Linked DNA regions of Callithrix jacchus. The protein of the gene in region 2 interacts with the protein of the main gene of each other region in a pairwise test. Links are inferred from orthologs where the notes say so. Each region holds a gene or a part of one and is shown on either strand. Other genes may lie near its edges. The genes, in order: UNC45A, MEOX2, MAPKBP1, SYT17, OIT3 and CNTNAP2.

The links.
Region 1: the proteins of MEOX2 (region 2) and UNC45A interact in binary tests that used the Homo sapiens proteins (3 or more experiments, as listed by UniProt). The two-hybrid records come from large-scale screens. The link is inferred for Callithrix jacchus from reciprocal best matches to the Homo sapiens genes MEOX2 and UNC45A.
Region 3: the proteins of MEOX2 (region 2) and MAPKBP1 interact in binary tests that used the Homo sapiens proteins (3 or more experiments, as listed by UniProt). The two-hybrid records come from large-scale screens. The link is inferred for Callithrix jacchus from reciprocal best matches to the Homo sapiens genes MEOX2 and MAPKBP1.
Region 4: the proteins of MEOX2 (region 2) and SYT17 interact in binary tests that used the Homo sapiens proteins (3 or more experiments, as listed by UniProt). The two-hybrid records come from large-scale screens. The link is inferred for Callithrix jacchus from reciprocal best matches to the Homo sapiens genes MEOX2 and SYT17.
Region 5: the proteins of MEOX2 (region 2) and OIT3 interact in binary tests that used the Homo sapiens proteins (3 or more experiments, as listed by UniProt). The two-hybrid records come from large-scale screens. The link is inferred for Callithrix jacchus from reciprocal best matches to the Homo sapiens genes MEOX2 and OIT3.
Region 6: the proteins of MEOX2 (region 2) and CNTNAP2 interact in binary tests that used the Homo sapiens proteins (3 or more experiments, as listed by UniProt). The link is inferred for Callithrix jacchus from reciprocal best matches to the Homo sapiens genes MEOX2 and CNTNAP2.

What each region holds. Positions count from the first base shown.
Region 1 is NC_133507.1:19,486,719-19,490,218, forward strand, and holds part of UNC45A (protein unc-45 homolog A), read right to left. Parts: coding exon 3,500-3,500; intron 3,130-3,499; coding exon 2,989-3,129; intron 2,775-2,988; coding exon 2,647-2,774; intron 2,438-2,646; coding exon 2,371-2,437; intron 1,956-2,370; coding exon 1,842-1,955; intron 1,614-1,841; coding exon 1,498-1,613; intron 1-1,497.
Region 2 is NC_133512.1:42,792,488-42,796,787, reverse strand, and holds the start of MEOX2 (homeobox protein MOX-2), read right to left. Parts: upstream 2,801-4,300; 5' UTR 2,522-2,800; coding exon 2,008-2,521; exon of another isoform or gene 1,967-2,007; intron 1-1,966. UniProt on the Homo sapiens protein: Mesodermal transcription factor that plays a key role in somitogenesis and somitogenesis and limb muscle differentiation. Required during limb development for normal appendicular muscle formation and for the normal regulation of myogenic genes.
Region 3 is NC_133509.1:44,794,599-44,798,098, forward strand, and holds part of MAPKBP1 (mitogen-activated protein kinase-binding protein 1), read right to left. Parts: intron 2,417-3,500; 5' UTR 2,143-2,416; coding exon 1,922-2,142; intron 1-1,921. UniProt on the Homo sapiens protein: Negative regulator of NOD2 function. It down-regulates NOD2-induced processes such as activation of NF-kappa-B signaling, IL8 secretion and antibacterial response. Involved in JNK signaling pathway.
Region 4 is NC_133513.1:20,686,639-20,690,138, reverse strand, and holds part of SYT17 (synaptotagmin-17), read right to left. Parts: intron 2,598-3,500; coding exon 2,477-2,597; intron 643-2,476; coding exon 487-642; intron 1-486. UniProt on the Homo sapiens protein: Plays a role in dendrite formation by melanocytes.
Region 5 is NC_133513.1:57,217,724-57,221,223, reverse strand, and holds part of OIT3 (oncoprotein-induced transcript 3 protein), read left to right. Parts: intron 1-2,305; coding exon 2,306-2,721; exon of another isoform or gene 2,722-2,756; intron 2,757-3,500.
Region 6 is NC_133512.1:100,642,493-100,645,992, forward strand, and holds part of CNTNAP2 (contactin-associated protein-like 2), read right to left. Parts: intron 2,184-3,500; coding exon 1,919-2,183; intron 1-1,918. UniProt on the Homo sapiens protein: Required for gap junction formation. Required, with CNTNAP1, for radial and longitudinal organization of myelinated axons.

The DNA.
Region 1 (3,500 bases), on a different chromosome or scaffold from region 2:
AGCCTGGGTAACAAGCAAAACTCCGTCTCAAAAAAAAAAAAAAAAAAAAAGAAATGGGGTTTCACCATCACATTGGCCAGACTGGTCTCAAACTCCTGACCTCAGGTGATCTGCCCACCTCACCCTCTCTCAGGGATTACAGGCCTGAGCTACTGCGCCTAGCCCAGGTATTGTCCCTTCTAACTCTCATGTTGAACTGTAAACCCTATGCCCTCTACCTTGACCCTAAGCCTCGTGGGAGGTGACTGGGTCATGGGGTGGGTCCCTCGTCGCTTGGTACAGTCCTCTCGATAGTGAATTCTTATGAGATCTGGTTGTTTCAAAGTGTGTGGCATCTCCCCCGACTCTCTTGCCCTTAGTTTCACCAGGTTACGTGCCTGCTCCTGCTTCGCCTTCTATGAGTAAAAGCTCTCTGAGGCCTCCCCAGAAGGTGAGCAAATGCTGACACCATGCTTATACAGCCTGTAGAACCACGAACCAATTAAACCTCTTTTCTTTAGAAACTACCCAGTGTCAGGTATTCCTTTACAGCAATGCGAGAACAGATGAACACAGGCAGCATCATTGAGACTTCCTACATCTGCTCCACCTCCGCACCCACACCCTCATGCAGTCAAGTCCTGGGCTGAGGATTTTCCTTGGCCACATCCAAGGACCCTCTTGCTGTGAACTACAGTGCCTGTTACCCATTTTTTTTTTTTTTGAGACAGAGTTTTGCTCTTGTTGCCCAGGCTGGAGTGCAATGGCGCCATCTTTGCTCACAGCAACCTCCACCTCCCAGTGATCCTCCTGCCTCAGCCTCCCAATTAGCTGGGATTATAGGCATGCACCACCATGCCCAGCTAACTTTGTATTTTTTAGTAGAGAAGGGATTCCTCCGTGTTGGTCAGGCTGGTCTTGAACTCCCGACCTCAAGTGATCCGCCCACCTAGGCCTCCCAAAGTGCTGAGATTACAGGTGTGAGCCGCCGCACCTGGCCTCATTTGAGTACTGACCTGACCAGGCACCTATATCATCTTAGTTAATCCTCACCACAGCGCTGTGGTGAAGGTGCAGGTGTAATCATCATCACTACTGCTTTGCAGAAGAGGAAACAGGGGCTGAGTAATGAGTCCCACGTTCAAAGTCACAGTAATGAAACTAAAACATGCTGATATGGCACAGTGCTAGGAGCCAGGTACCTATGTAGTAAGTACTTTTAAGTGTATTTTCTCATTTCATTCTCCTCATCACTATGCCGTGAGGTAGGTGCTATAATCATCCCATTTCCCAGAGGGAGACACTGAGGCAGAGCAGTGAAGTAACTTGCTTGTGGTGACACATTTGCATCAGGGAAGCGAGGCAATGTGCCTCCAGAGCCTGCCATGCCATGGTGCCTCTTGGCCTGGCTTCTCCTCTCTAAAATTGCCAAGGAGCCACTGAGGCCACAAAAGCCAGTGACTGGGATATTCCAAATCCTGACACCTGGCCCAGGCCCCGCATCCCAAGGAGGCTTACCGGAGCCTCTCGCTGATCCCCGCCAAGTTTGTTAGGGCCATGAGCGCCTCGAAGTTCTGCAGGCCTGAGCAGTTCAGGTGCAACAGGGACACAAGGGGCCGGACCACCTCGTAGATCTGCAATGTGCACCCTACCTGTCAGGGCTACTACCGCAGCCCCCACAGCCCCACCAACCCGGCGGGGAGGAGCCCACCCGCAGAGAGTGCTCCGCTCTCAGGCTGTCCTCCCTACCCAGGGCTCAGCAAAGCTGAAACTTCCTGCTGGTCCCAAAGGGCAGCTACAGCCCAGCCCACAGGCCACTAGGGACAGAGGGAGTGGAAAGGCCGGAGCAGGAAGATACACACCCGCTCGCCAGGGAAGGTCATCTCAGGGTTGGAGGTGATGGTGAGCTTGGCAAGGGCCTGGGCTGCTTTTGTCTGCCCCACATCCGTGCCTTCCAGGGCCAGTGGGATCAGTGCCTGCAGTAACAAGCCCGTCACTGCTCAGGACGTGCCTGGGAGTGTAAGACCCAAACCATCAGGCCCCAAGGCCCTGACTGTGTCACCCTCACCCTCTTCCCTCTCACAGGCTGGACTCCCAGTGTAGACCCTCTCACCCAAACATTTCCTGAAACCCCTACTAAGGGCTGGACATGGATTGTGCTGGGCACCAGAGCCATGGAGGTCAACGAGACAAAGGAATAGGAGGAGAGCCCAGGCCATTCACAAGCCTGCCCGCTTCCACATCCCTCTCTCAGCGGGACAATGTCCTTCTGGCCATTACTCATGTTTTCCTGTCCCACATCTAACACCCAGCTCTGGCGTGGCAGCCGCTGAGTCACGTTTTATAAGCTGATTGCTCAGCCGGCAGGAAGGGGTGTGTAAACCAGCTTACCCTGCCGCCTCCCTGGGCAACCACGGTGCCTCGGTCCTCTACCTCTTCCACCAAAGCCAGGAAGACCCTATGGGGAGAAGGCAGTGGTGGGCAGGCAGCTCTGGGACTCTGGCAGGCAGACGCTCCATTCCTGCACTCAGCAAGGAAGGCAGCCAGGCAGGCAGCCCTGTCACTCTAAGAGGCCCACAGCACTGGAACCTGCAGCCTCTGGAGCCACATCCGCAGCCCCGAAGCCCAGTAGTTGGGCAAGGCTGGCTCCCACCAAGGCTGGCTCACCTGGAGAGCAGCTCTCGGCAGGAATTGGTCAGCACAGGGCTCTCAGTCTTCACCATGCATACCATGGCTGACACCACACCCGCTGCCAGCAGCTTCTTCACTCGAGCCCGCACAAAGCTTGGCTTGTCCTGGGGGAGGAGGCAGCTTAGGAGGGGGCCCTGGGCTGACTTGCAGAGAAAGTGGGAACAACCTTCTCATAGCAGCAACTGAGGAACTGGGCAATGAAACAGCCAGACAAAGGGAAAGAAGCTGGCTTAAATGGGAAGCTGGTCTACTGCGGATGCCCTGGGTCAACTGGTCCCCATGACGGGGCAACCTCTGGCCCCTCTGGCGGCCCCTCACCTTGGGGTGCTGCTCAGGCACGTGCTGCTTGGCATACTTGGCCAGCTCCACCATCTTGGGATCAGGCTCCTCAAAGTCGTAGCTGTTGGTGCAGTTAACCAGCGCAGAGGCCACCGCAAAGAGCACCGACCTCTCCTCAGACTGCCAGGATGGAGAGGCATTCGCAGGCCACCCTGGGCCAGAGCAGCACTCGGGTAAATGCTGCCCAGGCCCAGGCCCCCAATTCCACCCTCAGCTGGGGCCCTAGGGTACAGGATGAATTCAGGAAGCTCCCCAGGCCCCAGACTTTGGGAGCTTACAAACTGGACCTCCCCAGCTCCTCCAAGGAGAACATCCTTGCTACCTGCACTGGTGCTGGCCAACGTGCCCACACCACACAGAGCAGCCACTCAGCCACCAGCCCTCCTCCCTGGGAGCAAAAGACCCCACTGGCCAAGCCCTGCTGAGAAAGCCTGGTAAGCTCTATTCCTAAACCGTTTCCCCAGGTGGACAGCAGGAACCACAGAGCTACC
Region 2 (4,300 bases):
TTAATTTATTCATAATTTATTCAGCTGACACAAACACTTATATTTGTTTGTTTTTCCATTACCCTCATTATCAGCTTCAACATGTAGAAATGAACTTAATTTTGTTAAATGGCTATTTCCCACACAGTTGGGGGAAGAGACAAATGTTATTAAATTATTCCTTTTTAAAAAAAAAAGTTTTATTAAAATAAATTAAGGAAATCAGTTATTGAATTCCATTTTCTTGGTTTCCCCCAAACAAAATAACATGTGCTTGCATGAAAATTGTTTGCCCTAAGAAACTTAAGGGCAGTGGCTCAGTTCCGGAAGCATAAGGCTATCATGTAGGTTTCTCATTGCAGAAAAATAAAATGAACAGTAAGGGCTTATGGGAATTGCAAGAGTACTCTCATCAGCCTGAACTGGGATCTCTTTCAAAAGTTACACTGATATCGAATGTTCAGTTTATAAAATTGTCACTGCATTCTAAAATCGACGGTTTTTCTAATAAAAATTGAAACCTTCTTACAACGATTAACCTTCCACTATCTAAAGGGAGTTTCACTTATAGTTAGGAAAATACAGTAAATATCAGTGACACCACTGCTAACTTTCTTATAAAAACTAATTTGTGATTGAACATTAAAAGTTCATCCCCTATCCTTGGAAAATAAAAGTTATTTTATTCTTCTGACAGAAGAATCTATCCCATACTAACGCTGAAGAACGATTGATATTGCTGCGAAGGGGAGAGGAATATTAAACATGCGGTCAATCATTTTCATTTATGTGACATCTCACCTAAAGCTTTAAAAAGCATAAACATTCCAATCCTTCAAACCAATATATGGGATTACCTTCTAGGACTATTATTAACCCAGTTCCGCAGAGGAAGAAAAATATACAAATATTATATTAAACAAATAATACCTTCCAAAAAGATGGAAGCCAGGGTGCACCATAGCCACGAAAGAAAACTCACAAGTCTCTCAATTTTAAAGTATCTTTTAACAATTTTATGATAATAGAAGTAGGTCAGAGCTTTGAAAAGTTGTCTGGAAAACTTTGAGTTTCTCTGGATTGCTACAATTTACTCTGCAAGTTGTGCCTTCAAGCACCAGAGGTCAGGAAGATTCCCCTTTTGCGTGGCTGCTCAAATTATCCTCACTGAAATCAGCGCTTCCTGCGCACCCTTGCATACGACCTTCAGGCACGTAGCTAACTGACACTACCCAAGTTGCTGTTCGCTACCCAGTATTTGCCGCAGCTAAAACCAACTTGGTAGAGGGATTTATTTTCCACTCTTGAAATTTAGATTCTGTAATTAACTTACACAACATGAACATGTACTATATTAAGGTTCGTCTTTCTTCCAGCGTGAGCATGTATTTATTTACAATTCTCTGACACATTCCTTAAAATCTGAATTCCTAGATAATATCTTCTTCCCTAAGAAGGGGAAATTTTTACCATTTGAAATAGGGTGCTATTTAAAGAACTCTCAAACAAGAATGTTTAAAAAAAAAAAACTAAAACTTTTTTTTTTTTCTCATGTGCTCTGCCAAGTTCCATTGCAAGTTCCAAATATTGTGCAATAATTTGGAAATCCAGTTTACGATGGGAAAAGTCAAGCCACTCAGAGTCGGGAACTTGCAAGAGAAAAGTCAAGAAGCAGCACCCGCACGCACGCACGCCTGCCCAACGGACGCGGCATCCCTGGGCACACGCCCCTCCCTCCCCCGCGCTGGGATGGAAGGTCACGCTTCGCAATCGATTTCACAGCCACTTGTCCTTTTTTATCAACCTTCTGGTAAACTAGTTTAGGACCTTGGAGAGCTTAGAGCTGCTAGCTGTGTTGCTCTCGGATAAACACGTGCCCCCAAATAACAGGACCAAAGCTTCACCGCCGAATTTAACACATTCCCCTCTTCCCCGCCGCCACCCTCCAGGGCCAGACTCTTCCCTGGCATCTCCCCGCCCCCTTTCCAGGCCGGCGCGCACTCTCGAGGGTGCCTGGCGCTCTCTTACCTGAGCTGTCGCTTTTCCTCTTGCCACCGCTTCGTTTCTCCGCCTCCGCAGGTGACAGTGCCTGGCGACCGTAGTCCCCTGGCGCGCACGAGGCCCCGGTCGGGGTGCTGGAGCCCAAGCTGGAAGAGTTGGAACACAGGACAGGCGGGCTGCTCCCCAACTCTGGGGGTCCTCCGGAGTCGGGCTGGAGGCAGAGGCTGTGCCGAGCCGCAGTCGGTGGGGAGGACATCTGCGGGAGGTGCCAATTGGTTTGCAGAGCCTGGTGCTGCTGCTGCTGATGGTGGTGATGGTGGTGATGATGGTGGTGGTGGTGCCCCCTGTGATGCTGGCTGGCAAACATGCCCTCTTCGTTGGGGTATCCCGCGATTATGCAAGATGAGGAAGAAGTAGAGAGCTCGGGGTAAGACATATGGTCAGATCTTCCATGCAGGGCTAGAGAGGATTGGGAGAACGGGTGCAAGCCTTGTGCCGTGGCGTGAGGGCTGCGCAGGCAGCCAAAGAGCGGGTGTTCCATAGCATGCAAGTTTCGGGTTCCAGGCAGAAGACTTCACGGCGGTTCTAAAGGCCACCACCCTCTGTCACTTTTCACTGGAAACCGTGTGATGTTTTTTACCCCTCTCAAAGCAATAGCCGTGCACTTCTGCAGAGCTCGGATAATCCCGGTCCTGAGCCCTAACGGCCAGTCTCCTTTACATATGAACAGTCGGACCTGGAAGAGCTTCCCTGAGCTACTCAGATGTCAAGAGTGGGAGAGGTTGAAGCCAAAAGAAGGTGGTCCCAGTGAACTGCCTTCAGGGGGAAATGGCTCTGAGAGGTTATAAATAGACTGTAACGTGAGCTGGGGGCTGGCTTAGGAGCCCAGAGTTGACCACATGCAAACTCCCTCCAAAACTCCCGCTCAGTCTGCGCCACGCGCTCCCAGTTCCACTTCCTATCGCCGGCTGGACAGACGCAGAGCGTCCACGCCCGCCTAGCCCTGCCAGCTACCAGGACTACAAGCGGCGCGCCAGCGTCTAAATCCCGCCCGGGAGGGCAGCGGCTCTGCCCTCCAGACTCTGGAGGCCAGGGCGCGGCGCGCACCAGCGCCAACCCAGCACCCTGTTTCCCACCTACTAATTTTTCTCTTGGGAAAACGTAACTTGTCAGTGTCATTTGGGAACTGTCACCTGCAGAAAAGCTAGGGATACGCCTAGCCTTTGAGGAACACGAAAGAAGTGATAGGGTTAAAGGAAAAGATCAGAGCTAGCCTGGCGCACTCTGGAAGTTTTTCAAACTTCGCATCTTCCCGTGCCCAGGGCGCCGCCGCGCGCCTAGGTTTTCGCAGTTAGTTTCTGTGGGTGGTGGTTAAGAGGCTGGGACGCCAGGTCTGAGGTTTCGGGGACGTGCACCATGGCCTGGAAAGTGTGGTTCACAGTGCGGAAAGACCTGAGAGGAAGACCTAAGGAAGACCTGGTGGGGTGGGTGGGAGGTAAGCGCGAATTGCAGATGCCTGCTCTCTGGCATCCTCACGTGCGATGCCCGGTGGAGTCTCCCTCCCCCCCGCTTTCCTGGTCTCGCTCAATTTCCTAGCCACTCGTCCACCAAGAAGAAATTTTCCTGGGTCAAGAATTATTTCCAAGCGATTTTGTCCCAGTCACATGAGATGTGTAGATTTGCATGCACATTTCTAGCCTCTCCCCTCCGGAGCTAGCCCAGGTCTCTTCAGTTCCCTCTAGAAATCCACTCTTCTGCTCAAAAATAAATCCACTAATCGTGTCTCTTAACACCACTGCTCCATTTACTGAGAAATCTTAAATTTCGATAGCTCTAAGAATTCACTAAGCTTGGGCGCTTGATTACATCTTTGCATCCCTGAAAATAAACTCGATAACTTGCCTCCAGTAAGCATGGGAGAGCGAGGGCAGGGCTTTGATACTGCCACTTGCTTGGTGAGCGACAAGATCCGCTGGGGCACAGTCGTTTATACACAAGTGAATGGGCTTTAATGAGCAGGAGGAACAGTCACGTCGGATCTGGGACGTGTCGGATCAGGAGAATATCTGTAGTCACCTATTCCACCCGGAGCCCCGACTGCACCACCAGCAGTGTCGCCCTGTTATTTTCATTGTCTCAGGTGTCCAGAGGATGGTGACCAGGTCTTTGAAGTTGTTAATGGGATTAATGGGTACAGCAAACTGGGCTAGACATCTGGTTTGAATTAGGAAAAAGTATTGATTAATCTTTGAGAGGTGTCCCCAAAGCAGAACCTTTCCTCTCCTCTTCCAGTCCCCCTGTTTAAGCCTATCTTTTCTTT
Region 3 (3,500 bases), on a different chromosome or scaffold from region 2:
TTTTGTATTTTTTGTAGAGAGAAGATCTTGCCACGTTGCCCAGGCTAATCTTGAACTCTTGAGCTCAAGGGATCTGCCTCCCAACGTGCTGGGATTACAGCACAAGCCACCACACCCAGCCTCCACTGCTTTCTTCTGGCAAACTGTTCTTTCTCCTTTTCCCCATCCAAGACAGCCTATCTCTGTAGGCCCACAAGGGTGAAAGGGCTCCCTGGAAACCTGTCCCCACTACCAGGTCCCTAAATACCAGCTCTTTCTCTGGTCATACCCACAAAGGGTAGCAGGGACACAGGCCATCCCACAGCCCTTGTGCATACCTCAGGAAGGGGTATAGGAGGGAAGAAGAAATGTATTTGGGCAAAGCAGGCCTCAGGTATACAGCCTGTATGCAGGCTTGGGGCCACATGTATGTCTATCAAGCATGTGTGCCTTAAGATGTAAGGCCTCTTGTTTGCACCCATGTGTGTACTTGGCAAGAGCTGGCCCCCCACACCCTCCATGTGTTGAGTGAGGAAGGAAGTGGGAGGCCAGGCATGGGGCCACACAGCAGAGAGGCTCAGTCAGATAGGGTAGGGGGAGAGAGAGAGAGCCTGAGAAGGCCCAGGATAGCCTTACAGTGCCACGGAGGTCCCAGGCCCCACCTTGAAAATCCCTGGCTCCAAGAAACCTGAGAAGAGCTACCCTGACTGCCAGAAGCAGATAATCAAGGACTCTGTCCACCTCGCAGAGAAGGTGGGGCAACCTCTCCCATCAGGCAGCAAGGCTGCTGGATGGAATCAGTCCTGCCTTTCCAGAGGCAGCTCCGGAGACAGAAGCTGGGTAGTAGGAATCAGGGGCAAGAAGCCAAAGGCCAATAGCCAGGCAGCTTCTCCTCAGGCTTCTTGGCCGTCAGCAGGCCCTGGCCCATTACCCCTTGCCCGCCTCACCTCTTCATTAGCACTGAACTAGCAGACAGGAGCAAGCCTAGAGGCTGCGATTAGGAAAGGCAGGGAGGAGGGAAAGGGCAGACAGCTACTTCCCCAGGCCTGACTTTCCCGAGTGGGACCTCACTGCAGCCCCTGTATCTGAACACCACTACCGGCTGGAACCGTGAAGGGAGGTAGGTGCAAGCTGCTAGTGAATGCTAAGCATCTTGGGCTCAATAAACCACTTCAATATGCAAATTCTGGGACACTGGGACCTCCAATGTGACCGGATATGCCCAGAACTGCCAGGCTGACCAACAGCTGTGGAATTTCTGCGCCACATCATTTTCTCCTCAAATCCGCCACTCCTCCTCACTATTTTATTTCTCCTTTCTCCATTTCCTACTCTTTCCTTGTTCCTGTTTCCTTTTTCCTTTCTCTCTTTTTGGTTTTGTTTTTTTGAGACAAAGTCTCACTGTGTTGCCCAGGCTGGTCTTGAACTCCTGGGCTCAAGCAATCCTCCTGCCTCATCCTCCCAAGTAGCTGGGATTACAGGCCCATGCCACCCTACTCAGCCCTTCCTTTTTTTTTGGAGACAGGGTCTCATTCTGTCCACCCAGGCTGAAGTGCAGTGGCTCAATCTCAGCTCACTGCAACCTTCACCTCCCAGGTTCAAGCAATTCTCCTGTTTCAGCCACCCGAGTGGCGGGGATTACAGGCATCCATCACCAAGTCTGGCTCCTTTTTTTGTATTTTTAGTAGAGACGGGGTTTCACCATATTGGTCAGACTTTTCTTGAACTCCTGACCTCAGGTAATCCACCCATCTTGGCCTCCCAAAATGTTGAGATTAGACGTATGTGCCACTACGCCCAGCCAGATTTATTTAGATTTTAATACTTTATGCCATGTATAAAAAGTAATACCCCCAGGCCCGCCACCATCGTGAATTCAGAGCTCAGAAAGTTCTCAGGGGTTAACCAATGTTTTCTGAACCTTCTTCCAATCTGTGCTGACCTGAGACCCTCTGCAGGCACGTCTCTCCAGCAAAGGCTTCTAGTCTGAATGGGTACGAGTTCCTTGGCTTTTGGATTCGTTACACAGGAACCATGGTAGAGGTCTTCAGCTGAGAGTTGATCTAATTGAATTGACTTGATGCATAATCCAGTCAACCATATTCCAAATCCAGAAAAACTTGGCTCTATGTGCAATCTTAGGAGTTTTGCCTTAATTCTCATCCCAAAGCAGGATTTTGGCCTTTAAAGGGCAGTGCATCGGACTGCTTAAAACACTTTTCATGTCACTGCATTCAAACTCAGTCTTCCTGTGACACGACATCTTGTCTCCTCCTCCTATGTTCAGCTCCACGGTGGAAGGAAGAGGGGGATGGAGTGTGCTTCTATATAGACAGAAGGATGGCTGGCTAGAGGCAATGAGGCGATCTCTCCGTCCTCTAATACACCGCCTGGCCCCAGTATAGCCTAAGAAATTCTCAGGTGTGGCAGAGAAGAGCTAAGCAAGAAAAGGAACCACATAGAGGTCATCGCTTAAGGGAGTATTTTTATTTGGAAGCCATCCAACATGAGAAAGAGAAAGAGAGCAAGAGAGAGCCTGAAAGGCCCGGGAAAACCTTACAGTGCCATGGAGGTCCTGGGCCCCACCCTGAGAATCCCTGGCCCCAAGAGACCTGAGAATAACCCCCCCGACTGCCAGAAGCAGACAATCAAGGACTCTGCCCACCTCGCAGAGAAGGCCAGGGCAACCTCTCCCACCAGGCAGCAAGGCTGCTGGATGGAATCAGGTTCTGATTCCATGGTCAAAGTTCCATATGCAGGGATGGTAACAAAGATGCTGAAGTGAGAGCAGCATGGCCAAGGTTCCCTGTGTGCCTGGCTTGTTGAGATCCAACCTGTTCTCAAAAGCAGCAAGGAGCCTTCTCAGCCTTCTTGGTGAACTCTGAGCAAGCTCCTAGGTCAGCGAGGGAGAGGAGGGCGGGGCCCGGTTTGTATCAGTCTTTCCCTCCACATCCCCTGACCCTGCCCAGCTGGGCAAGCCCTTCCTACAGTGCTTCCTGGGATTTCACCACATGCCAAGGGCTGGGTTGGTCCAACCAGCTGAGTCCTGCAACTCAGCACCTGCGGGTGCAGAGCGGCTGCTCACTCTCACTGGGAGGGTGTAAGGCCTCAGTACATCCAGGCCTCAACCTGGGGGAGTCATGTGGTGGAGTACCCGCGCCAGGTGCTGGGCCCACTGCCCAGGAAGGGCCAAGCCTTCAACATCCCCTTCCTGACACAGGTCCGGGCCTGCTGCTACCACAGAGAGCCCAGGATTCCCACAGGATCTACCTCCTACCACTCTCCATCCCCCAATGGGATGAGCCACGCATGGGGCAGCACAGACAGGGAGCAGGACACAGGAGGTCCAACTAGAGACCCTGGGCCTTTGAATGTTTTTCTTTGAGACCAGGTAAAGTCTGAGAGTGACTCACAGAGGCATCCCAAAGGGGCTTCCCGCCTCACTCAAAAGTCACCCTCTAGCCCTATTTATCATTACAACCCTTCCTGCATCACTGAGACTGTTTATACTGTTTCCAATA
Region 4 (3,500 bases), on a different chromosome or scaffold from region 2:
TCTGAGTTAGGTGACCCTGTTTTCTCATATGCTTCTCTTATTTGACTGCAGGAAACTTGAATCATCACCACCATCATCATCAACACAAACACAAAGTGAGTACTTATTATGTACCAAGTATATTCCAAAGTCATAAGCCATTTACTATTCACAGCAAACCTAAGCCACAAGTACCATTATATATATTGTTCCCATTTTATAGATGAGGAAACTGAAGCTCAGGGGAGTTAAGTAACTTGCCAAAGACCTCAGTTATTGTGTGGCAGTATGAGGAAATGTGGCTCAAGTCCACATTTCTAACAATTATATTATAGGGCTGTATAAGTCCTGCCCAAGTTCATAGATGTTAAATGGCATCAACCCCATGTAGTTGAACAGCAGACATTAAGTTCTTAAATATAACTCTCTCTAGATGTCTTCTGTCTCCAGGACAGTAAGTTGAACAAGTCTTACCTGGAGTTCATCAGGTTTTGGAATGCTACCTACCTGTAAACACTAAGCTGGCATTTTCCAGTTCTTCTTGGGGAACTTTGAAGCTGAAGGATTCATTGTAGAAAGGATCAATTGTGCCTCTTAAGAAGGATGTCTTCTTGGTTTTCACAAGTTTGAGTCCATGCACCAACTGGATTTTCACAAAGGGGTCTGAAAATTAGATACAGCATCATAAAATGTTAGAAATCATGAAATCTAATTTGTCCAGTCATTGATCCATTCAACCTCCCATCCATCCATCCATCTTTTCATTCATCCATTCTTCTATCATCCACTAATTCAACTTTTCATTCATCTCAGTCCATCCGTTCATCCAGCTGTCCATCCGTCCATCTTCCCATCCATCAGTTCACTGATCCATTCATCATCTCACCATTCTTTTATCTATTCATTTCTATCCGTCTAGTTTCCCCTCTATTTGACAATTCAACCATCTATCCATCTATTATCTAACCATCATTTTCATCCATCTGCTTATCTGTTTATCCCTTTCCTTTTTCCTTTAGCCATCTAATATTTGTTGAGCTCCTGCCATGTGTCAGCATTGTGTTCATCTTACAGATGAGAAAAAACTGAGAACTCAAGGTGAGAAATCATTTCTTAAAGATCTTGCTGGTAGAGACAGAACCAGACTCAGAGCCTGCCCTGGCTTTCTGTTTGTGGAAACCCATTATCATTTCAGTGAGCCCATAGCCCATATACAGGAGAATAGAGATGGCAGAATTATAATTCATCTTTAGATCATTTTACATTTTACAAAGGGATTCATGTACATTATCTAATTTAATATTTGTTTAAACAACTTATCAAGATGAATACTGTTATTATGTCAATTTTTGAGACTGAGAAATTGAGGCATATAGAGGTTAAGTAACTTACCCAAAGCCACATCATTTGCAAGCCACATCATTTGACTCCTCAACCCTTAATGATTTGATCATACTGCCTCTCCCATTGCAGTGAGTCTGAAACTCTTCAGTCTTAAAACCATTGCCTCCAATGGCCCTTTCTAAGCCTCTGTTTTTATAATATGGTTTTTGAGAATGCAGATTGTCTTCTAGCTGTCACCTTATTGCAAAAGTAATTTATTTTAGCTATTGCACTTAGAGAAGACAATAATTCTACCACTGAGCTGAAGAGATCCCTGTGATTACAGGTGCTTTCACAGTAATGTCCTTTGCTGTCATGGGAGAAGCAACAGACAGATGGAATGGAATCTGTTCCCTTCCATTAAAAGTCATGTTTGAATGGTTTTTGCTATAATGTATATACTTTAAATACAAGTCTTTTCAGAGCTGGAATTCATGAAGATTTATGGTACACATGAAATGAGCTGGGGGAAAAAACCCTCAGGGTGTGTCCTCTACACTCACTGCTTAGAATGCATAGTTGGCTGGACACGGTGGCTCACGCCTGTAATCTCAGCACTTTGGGAGGCTGAGGCGGGAAGATCATGAGGTTAGGAGTTCGAGACCAGCCTAGCCAATATGGTGAAACCCTCTCTCTACTAAAATTACAAAAATTCGCTGGGCATGGTAGCACACGCCTGTAGTCCCAGTTGCTCTGGAGGTTGAGGCAGGAACATCACTTGAACCTGGGAGGCGAAGGTTGCAGTGAGCCGAGATCACACCACTGCACTCCAGCCTGGGAGACAGAGTAAGACTTCAGCTGGGGAGGTAGCGGGGTGAGAAGCATAGTCAATGTACACTATCACCACCTGCAGGATGGCGTCTTTATTGTAGGAATAGCATTTGGAAAGGCCAAGTCACTTCCTTGGGTTCAAAGAGGTAGGTTTCCTGTAGTTATTACAACTGGTCTCAGTCAACTCCCCAATTCCAGTAGGGTTACTAAGGTGGCATCATTTACCTGCCTCATCCTGAGATGAATAATGTTCATTCAGGATGCAGAAAAAGAAAATTAGGTCCCCCACACAAACATAGATGCCTCACTAATAAAGAGAGAGAAGGAGGGAATCACACGGTACCTGAACCTTGGCTCACATCTGTTTGAAGAAGTTGCTTGGCTCGGATGACATCAACATTCAGTCTGCCAGCACTTGGGAGATAATTCAGTGACAGAAGCAGCTCCCCTAGCTCCACTTCATTCTGCAGAGAAAGGAAGTAGTCAGGAAGTTGCTTTCTCCTCTTATTCCTTTTGCAGCCACCATGCAGGAAATTGACCGCAGCAGCTCACAAATGGGTTGCTGTGAGTGCTTCGGTGGACAGAAGTGTCTCTGTATATGACTTCTTTTCAATTCTGCCTCCAATTACTGTGGTTCATCTATCTCTGAGTTTTTTCCACTCTTAGGTCAATCAACAGCAACAACAATAACAACAAAAGCAGCAATAATAAAAAATAAATGCATGTTACACTGCCATGTACTACGCTAAGTGCTTCACGTGTAATGACTAACCTTCTAATGAAGTATTAACTCTGTTTAACAGATGAGGAAACTGAGGCTCGTGGGATTAAATAACATGTCCAAAGCCACAGCAAGAAAGTGGTAGAGCTGGTACTTAGACCCAGGGAGGCTGATTTGATCCCAGATACTCTGACTGCATGGGATACCTGGGAGGTAGAATGCCCTGCAGAGGAACTATCTGAGTGAAAAAATCTGTTCTTAACCTCTAATCTCCAATAGACTCCACACTTCTAACCACACCATAGCAACACTCAGCACGGTGACATCCCTTGTTGAAGAGCACCCATCCCCTTGATGTCAACTCTATCACACTGTGGAAAATTCACAGGAACACCTAAGCACATGACTCTATACTGCCAAAAATACCTAGAAAACAGGAGACCTCCTACTTCTCTGTCCCTTACCAAAAATAAACATATTGTAGAAAATTTCAACTATATACAAAATAATAAACTAGCATAACAAATCTCCATCTATCCATCAAAAGTCTGTAACAATTATTGACATTTTGCCACATGGTGTTTCGCCTATATCCTGACTTGCAAAACATTTTAGCTGAATATTTTAAACTAAGTCCTTGACATGG
Region 5 (3,500 bases), on a different chromosome or scaffold from region 2:
CTCGTTCTTGTTGCCCAGGCTGGAGTGCAGTGGTGCAATCTTGGCTCACTGCAACCTCCACCTCCTGTGTTCAAGTGATTCTTCTGCCTCAGCCTCCTGAGTAGCTGGAATTACAGGTGCCTGCCACCATGCCCTGCTAATTTTTGTTTATTTTTTAGTAGAAACAGGGTTTCACCATGTTGGCCAGTCTGGTCTCAAACTCCTGACCTCAGGTGATCCACCTGCCTTGGACTACCAAAGTGCTGGGATTACAGGCATGAGCCACCGTGCCCAGGCTTCTTCCCCCTTCCCCCCTCCCCCCCTTTAACAGTCTGGCCACTTTTCTGTAGGGCTGCTGTGGTTTATTGGGCGTCTGTTCCAGTCCCTAATTCCCTCATATTTTCCAGTACCTGGAGGTATCACCAGTGAAGGCTGTGAAACAGCAAAGATAGCAGGCTGCCCCTTCCTCTGGAGCTCCATCCCAGCAGAGTACAGACCTGTTGCCAGCCTTAACATACCATTAGGTGGTGGCTGGAAACCCCAGTTGGGAGGTCTCAGCCAGCCAGGAGGAAAAGGACTGGGGACCTACTTAAAGAAGCAGTCTAGCCCTGCTTTCATAGAGTGACTGAACTGTGCTGGAGTACCATTTCCACCCCCCACCCCCACCACCCCTTGTTTCAATCAGGTTGCCCTCTTCAAAGCCTGGAGGCTGAAAGAGCTCAGTTGCTGAAACAGCAAAGATGGTGGTCTCCCTCTTCCTCTGGGAGCTCCATCTCAGTGGGGTACAGAACTGTTGCTGACCTGAACACACCTATAGGAGGTAGCTGGATACTCCAGTTGGGAGATCTCACCCAGCCAGGAGTAAGGATCGAGGACCTGCTTAAAGAAGCAGTATGGCCACTATGCCATGCTGGGGTACTGCTTTCACCCCCAGACAGTTTCCTAGAGCAGCTATACCATGCTGGGTACTAATTTCACCCCCAGAAAGTTTCTTAGAGCAGCTATACCATGCTGGGGTACTGCTTTCACCCCAAGAGAGTTTCCTAGAGCAGCTATACCATGCTGGGGTACTGCCTTCACCCCCAGAGAGTTTCCTAGAGCAGCTATACCATGCTGGGGTACTGCTTTCACCCCCAGACAGTTTCCTAGAGCAGCTATACCATGCTGGGTACTAATTTCACCCCCAGACAGTTTCTTAGAGCAGCTATACCATGCTGGGGTACTGCTTTCACCCCCAGGGAGTTTCTTAGAGCAGCTATACCATGCTGGGTACTAATTTCACCCCCAGACAATTTCTTAGAGCAGCTATACCATGCTGGGGTACTGCTTTTACCCCCAGACAGTTCCCTAGAGCAGCTATACCATGTTGGGTACTGCTTCACCCCCAGTCAGCTCCCCAGAGCAGCTGTACCACGCTGGGGTACTGCTTTCACCCCCAGACAGTTTCCTAGAGCAACTATACCATGCTGGGTACTGTTTTCACCCCCAGACAGCTCCCTAGAGCAGTTATACCATGCTGGAGTACTGCTTTCACCCCCAGTCAGCTCCCCAGAGCAGCTGTACCATGCTGGGGTACTGCTTTCACCCCCAGACAGTTCCCTAGAGCAGCCATACCATGATGGGTACTGCTTTCACCCCCAGACAGTTCCCTAGAGCAGCCATCCCATGATGGGTACTGCTTTCACCCCCAGACAGTTCCCTAGAGCAGCCATACCATGATGGGTACTGCTTTCACCCCCAGACAGTTCCCTAGAGCAGCCATACCATGATGGGTATTGCTTTCACCCCCAGACAGTTCCCTAGAGCAGCCATACCATGATGGGTACTGCTTTCACCCCCAGACAGTTCCCTAGAGCAGCTATACCATGCTGGGGTACTACTTTCACCCCCAGACAGTTTGGACTCCCCACAGGCTAGAATGGCTAAGTTGTCCAAACAGCAAAGATGGCAGTCTGCTCCTCCCTCTGGGCACTTCATCCCAGGAAGAAATCAAAACTCTGTCTGCCAGAGAATATGGGTGGGCAGAGCTGGCTGGAGGCCCCAGTTGGGAGGTCCTGCCCAGAGATAAGGAGGGATCAGGGTCCCACTTAAAGACGCAGTCTGGCTGTGTTTTGGTAGAGCTAAGACTCTTAACAGTCAGGATGGCTTGATAACAAAAGGAGGGCAATAGGAAAAAACAAAACAAAACTTCAGCCTTAGGCAACCAAATCTGTAATGCATTTTGATATAAATAGAAGCTGGTAGAATGTTAAGGTGAGAGGGGAGGGAAAAAACTGTAGAAGTAAATAGACAATCTCTTTCCTCTCCTCACCCTGGCCTGGCTTAGGTGGTGAATGACAAGATCGTGGCCAGCAACCTTGTGACAGGTCTACCCAAGCAGACCCCGGGGAGCAGCGGGGACTTCATCATCCGAACCAGCAAGCTGCTGATCCCGGTGACCTGCGAGTTTCCACGCCTGTACACCATTTCTGAAGGATACGTTCCCAACCTTCGAAACTCCCCGCTGGAAATCATGAGCCGAAATCATGGGATCTTCCCATTCACTCTGGAGATCTTCAAGGACGATGAGTTTGAGGAACCTTACCGGGAAGCTTTGCCCACCCTCAAGCTTCGTGACTCCCTCTACTTTGGCATCGAGCCTCTGGTGCACGTGAGCAGCTTGGAAAGCTTGGTGGAGAGCTGCTTTGCCACCCCCACCTCCAAGATTGACGAGGTCCTGAAATACTACCTCATCCGGGATGGGTAATGCTGCTGCCGGAACCATCTCATCACCCCTAGTTTGTATCCGACTTCTAAGTTCACAGCACACCCAGCCATTTACTAAAACTGCATGGCACAACTGTCAGCCCTCTGCTAGTTCAGGGACCACTTATTGACGTTTTGGAGGTAAAAACCAGTGAGGGAAAGGAGAGTAAAAAATGGCTCCTAGGCCAGGCATGGTGGCTCACACCTGTAATCCTAGCGCTTTGGGAGGCCAAGGTGGGTGGATCACCTGCGGTCAAGAGTTTGAGACCAGCCTGGCCAACATGGTGAAACCCTGTCTCTACTCAAAACACAAAAATTAGCTGGGTGTGGTGGTGGGTGCCTGTAATCCCAGCTACTTGGGAGGCTGAGGCAGGAGACTCGCTTGAACCCGGGAGGTAGAGGTTGCAGTGAGCCAAGATTGCACCACTGCACTCTAGCCTAGGTGACAAGAGCAAAATTCCATCTCAAAAAAAAAAAAAAAAGGCTCCTAGGGGTCTAGCCCATGTGACTGACTAGATCCTATTAACCAAGATGAAAAGATGCGTATAGAAAAGCAGATTTGAGGTAAAAATGCTGAATTTCGTCATTCAAAATGATATATTGAATAAGTTCATTTTTCAGATACCTGCAGGATACCTAGGAAGAGAAGTTCAGTGGGCATTCAGTAGAAATGCATTATCAGCTAGACTAGGTAACATGGTCTGGACTAGAACTGAGGACAGGAAATCATCTGATTCCCTGCAGGATTCCCTGTAGGATTGAGTAACCTGCTCAGA
Region 6 (3,500 bases), about 58 Mb from region 2:
CAATTAATTTGCACAGATTCTTGGGTAAATTGATAAAAAATGCTTCAGTTCACTTTTATTATATTTAAGCAACTATATTAAGGTGAATTAATTGTCACATATTGGTTTCCTTTGTTCATTCTATCTTTAATTTTCAAAATAAAAACAGCTTAAATTAGATGAGAGTATCTTGGAGTACTAAAATTTAGCAAAATCAAACTAATACATGTTTATTGACCACTAGGTTTCAGATCTTATTGTTTTAAATATATTGGCTCCTGTTACACAGAAACCTAAAGACAAATTGCATTTGCTCAGAGAATGCAAGGAGAGAGGCCTCCATACTAATATTTTTATATGTTTAGTCATTAGAAAATAATCATTAATCATAACGGAATGTAATGTGGGAGTTTTTCAACTGTGGTAAACATTTGTTTTGTTTTAGTTTTATCTGTTTTTCTGGTCTGTCCAGATATTTTCTATTTGCTGCAAATCTCCCTAGGTATATTTATAAAATACTATAGTGAGAAAATATGGTTGATTTTATCAACCATGGACATTCAAGGAAAAAGCAGAACTAATAAAGAGAAATGGAGAAAGTGAATATCTAGGTATTTCCCGATAGCTTTAGATTTTAATAATTTCGGCACATCTGTGACATAACAGTTCTTATGTCTTCCTTGCATCCTTTTCAGCAATAGACCATACATTCAGGCCATACACAAACATAAAGCCTATTTTACAAGAAAATGTATGCTCTATAGCAAGGGGTATTCTGTTAGTTTAAAGGGTCAGAGTATTGAACTCAACAAATATTCTAGAGTACCTCTTATACGTACTATTCTATATGCTAAAGACAGAAGAAGAAGGAGCATGGCCCCTGCTCTCAAGGAGCATGCAGCCTAGAGAGGAAATGAGTGGAACACAAATCACGGTGTGACTGAAAACATGTCCGGTGTATGCGTAGGGTGTCATGAGTGTTTCTGGCATATTCAGAAAACAGAGTCCATCGTCATCCAATTGAGCTCTCCGTCATGACCTCTTTCAGTATTTGCTACTTCTGTACTAAGTGTTCAGTAAATGTTAGTTTTCTTTGCATCTCCCATTTGTAAGTAGTTCTTCACACACACACACACACAGACACACACACACACGACTATTACAAAGAATATCTCAAGAAAAATAGATGAAAACAGTTACTATCTATCATTCCAATATTGTGACTATTTTTTCTTTGCTTGTAACATCTCGATTTAAAATATCACCTTTCTTTGGACCATATTTATCAAAGAACATTCCAAGGTTGCTAAGTCTATTCAAATAGAAAGAATACCACCTAAGCTTCCACTTGTCATGTCACTACAAAGCCAAATTTTAAATTATCCTATTTTTGGTAAGCCAGTCTTCCTTCAGTTCGTATACAAATCTTGTCATTCTGCTTTGTATTCACTTTTGTTTTCTTTCCAAACATAAGCATAATTTTAGCAAGATCATTCTGAAGTTGATTCCAGCAGTGGAATATTCCTTAAAGTTGTAATTAGTATAATCTTGTTACTATAAGTAAAAAGTACTTGAATGTTCATAAAGTCAAAAGATACCAGATACAACTGTGTATTTTTTTAACAAAAATTCTTTGTGTTTAAATATAAATTAATCTCTTAAAAGAACAGCAATTTTTCTATTAAATATAAGCTAGCATTGGTAAGGAATGTATTTTGCTTTTCCAATCTCAACCAGCTTTCTCCCTCACTCTTGCCTTGCCCTCTCAGCAACTTCCAAGTTTTCCTTACTCAGTTAGCACATAGTACAACTACGTGTCTTGAAGATCTGAATTACAACCTAATCCTCAGCACGTAACACCAGCAAAACAAAACAAAACATTAGCTTTGGAAATTGCAATAGCAGTTTCAGGAACAAATGTCAAATAGGTTTCACTGACCTGAGGAAATGTCTATTTGGCTCATCTTGGTCTGTGTGATGTTGATGTGAACACCCACTTTGCTTTCAGTGAGGTCAATCTCCACATTGCCCAGATTATCTGCAAAGTGACTGAAGACCAGGAGACCATTGGGGTTCCACGTCCTAAACTGGAAACTGACTGAGAACAGGTCCTGGTTAAGCCGTCCGGGCACCTCCAGATAACTTGTAGCATTGAAAAAGACAGGCACCGTATAGGGTTCCACACAAGAGAAGCTCAAATTTCCCTATAAAATAGAAAGGCATGCTCTCAGGAAGACACAGAATAAAATAAATGTCCACGTAAGACCACTGATGAAGGTAGAGTTCTGTAAGTTTTGAAGCAGAGCCTGAGCCTGAGCTAAACTCACACCCAGCTGCAGGGCATGGATTCAGTGACTGGAAGCACCAACATGAATCTACTTGGAGTGTGAGGCCTAACATTGAACAGCAGTGGCTGTCTAACTATAACAAGCAGCTTCCACCCCGGGACTGACAGCCTGACAGCCTGTTGAGATAAGCTGACCACGAGTTGTAAAGTGTGTATGTGTGTTGTGGGCATCAGTGTGGATCACTAGACTTTCTGAAGACAACAAAGTTGCTGCTGGCCGAACACAAGTCAGGGAGAGAGATGCTCTGCCCTATTCTGAGTAGTCAATGCTAACATTAATTAACATATTACTCTGGTCTCAGTACGGACTATGATCATATGTTTGCTATTTGTGAAACCGGTATTTTAGAAAAAATATTCTTGGATTTTTATCTATACACCTTATGTATTTTTATTTATATACCTTATATATGCATAGATAGATAAATATTGTTTTTAGTGTTAATGTAATTGTGGTTATTGCAGATTATTCTATTACCAACTCAAAATCCCATTTAAATTCCCATGAAATGTGCTTGTATCACAAGGCATTCATTCCTGTGGAACTAGCAGTATAAATGGGCAAAATGGAAACAAAACTTCTAATAATTCAGGCTTGTCCTTCCCTATCCATACTCCTCCTTCTTGATATAAGCAAGAACAATTCACATTGATTTAGCATTCAGATACACTAAATTTTATATTTTAGTGCCTAACATCTCTTTACAGATCTAAAAATCTGTATTTGCTTCTAATTTCTTTTATCCTATAATAATATTTTAAGGAATGTAATTGGATAATATTTCATTGGGTCTATCTCTCTATCTTTTTCTTTTTCTCTCTATATTTTTTACACCACCACATATATATATACCAGATACTGATTTCTTCCATTTAAGCACATTAACCAATAAATCTAAGGCAGGCTGTCTCCCTGAATTAATATTCAAATTAAATTTGCTCTGTACCATCACAGATGATTATTTTAAAACTGATGAAAAGAACTGCCTATGCATAATAACTGAGATTTTATAACTGACCACATACCATTGTTGAGGGGATTGTCTCCCTAACAAAATTAAAGATCCTTCCAGAGTAATGGTGCTGACTCTGGAGTCAGCACATAATGAGGGAATGAGTGCGTGGGGGAAGAGGAGGTAGAATGAGTGCTGAGTCAATTTCACTGAAATATCAG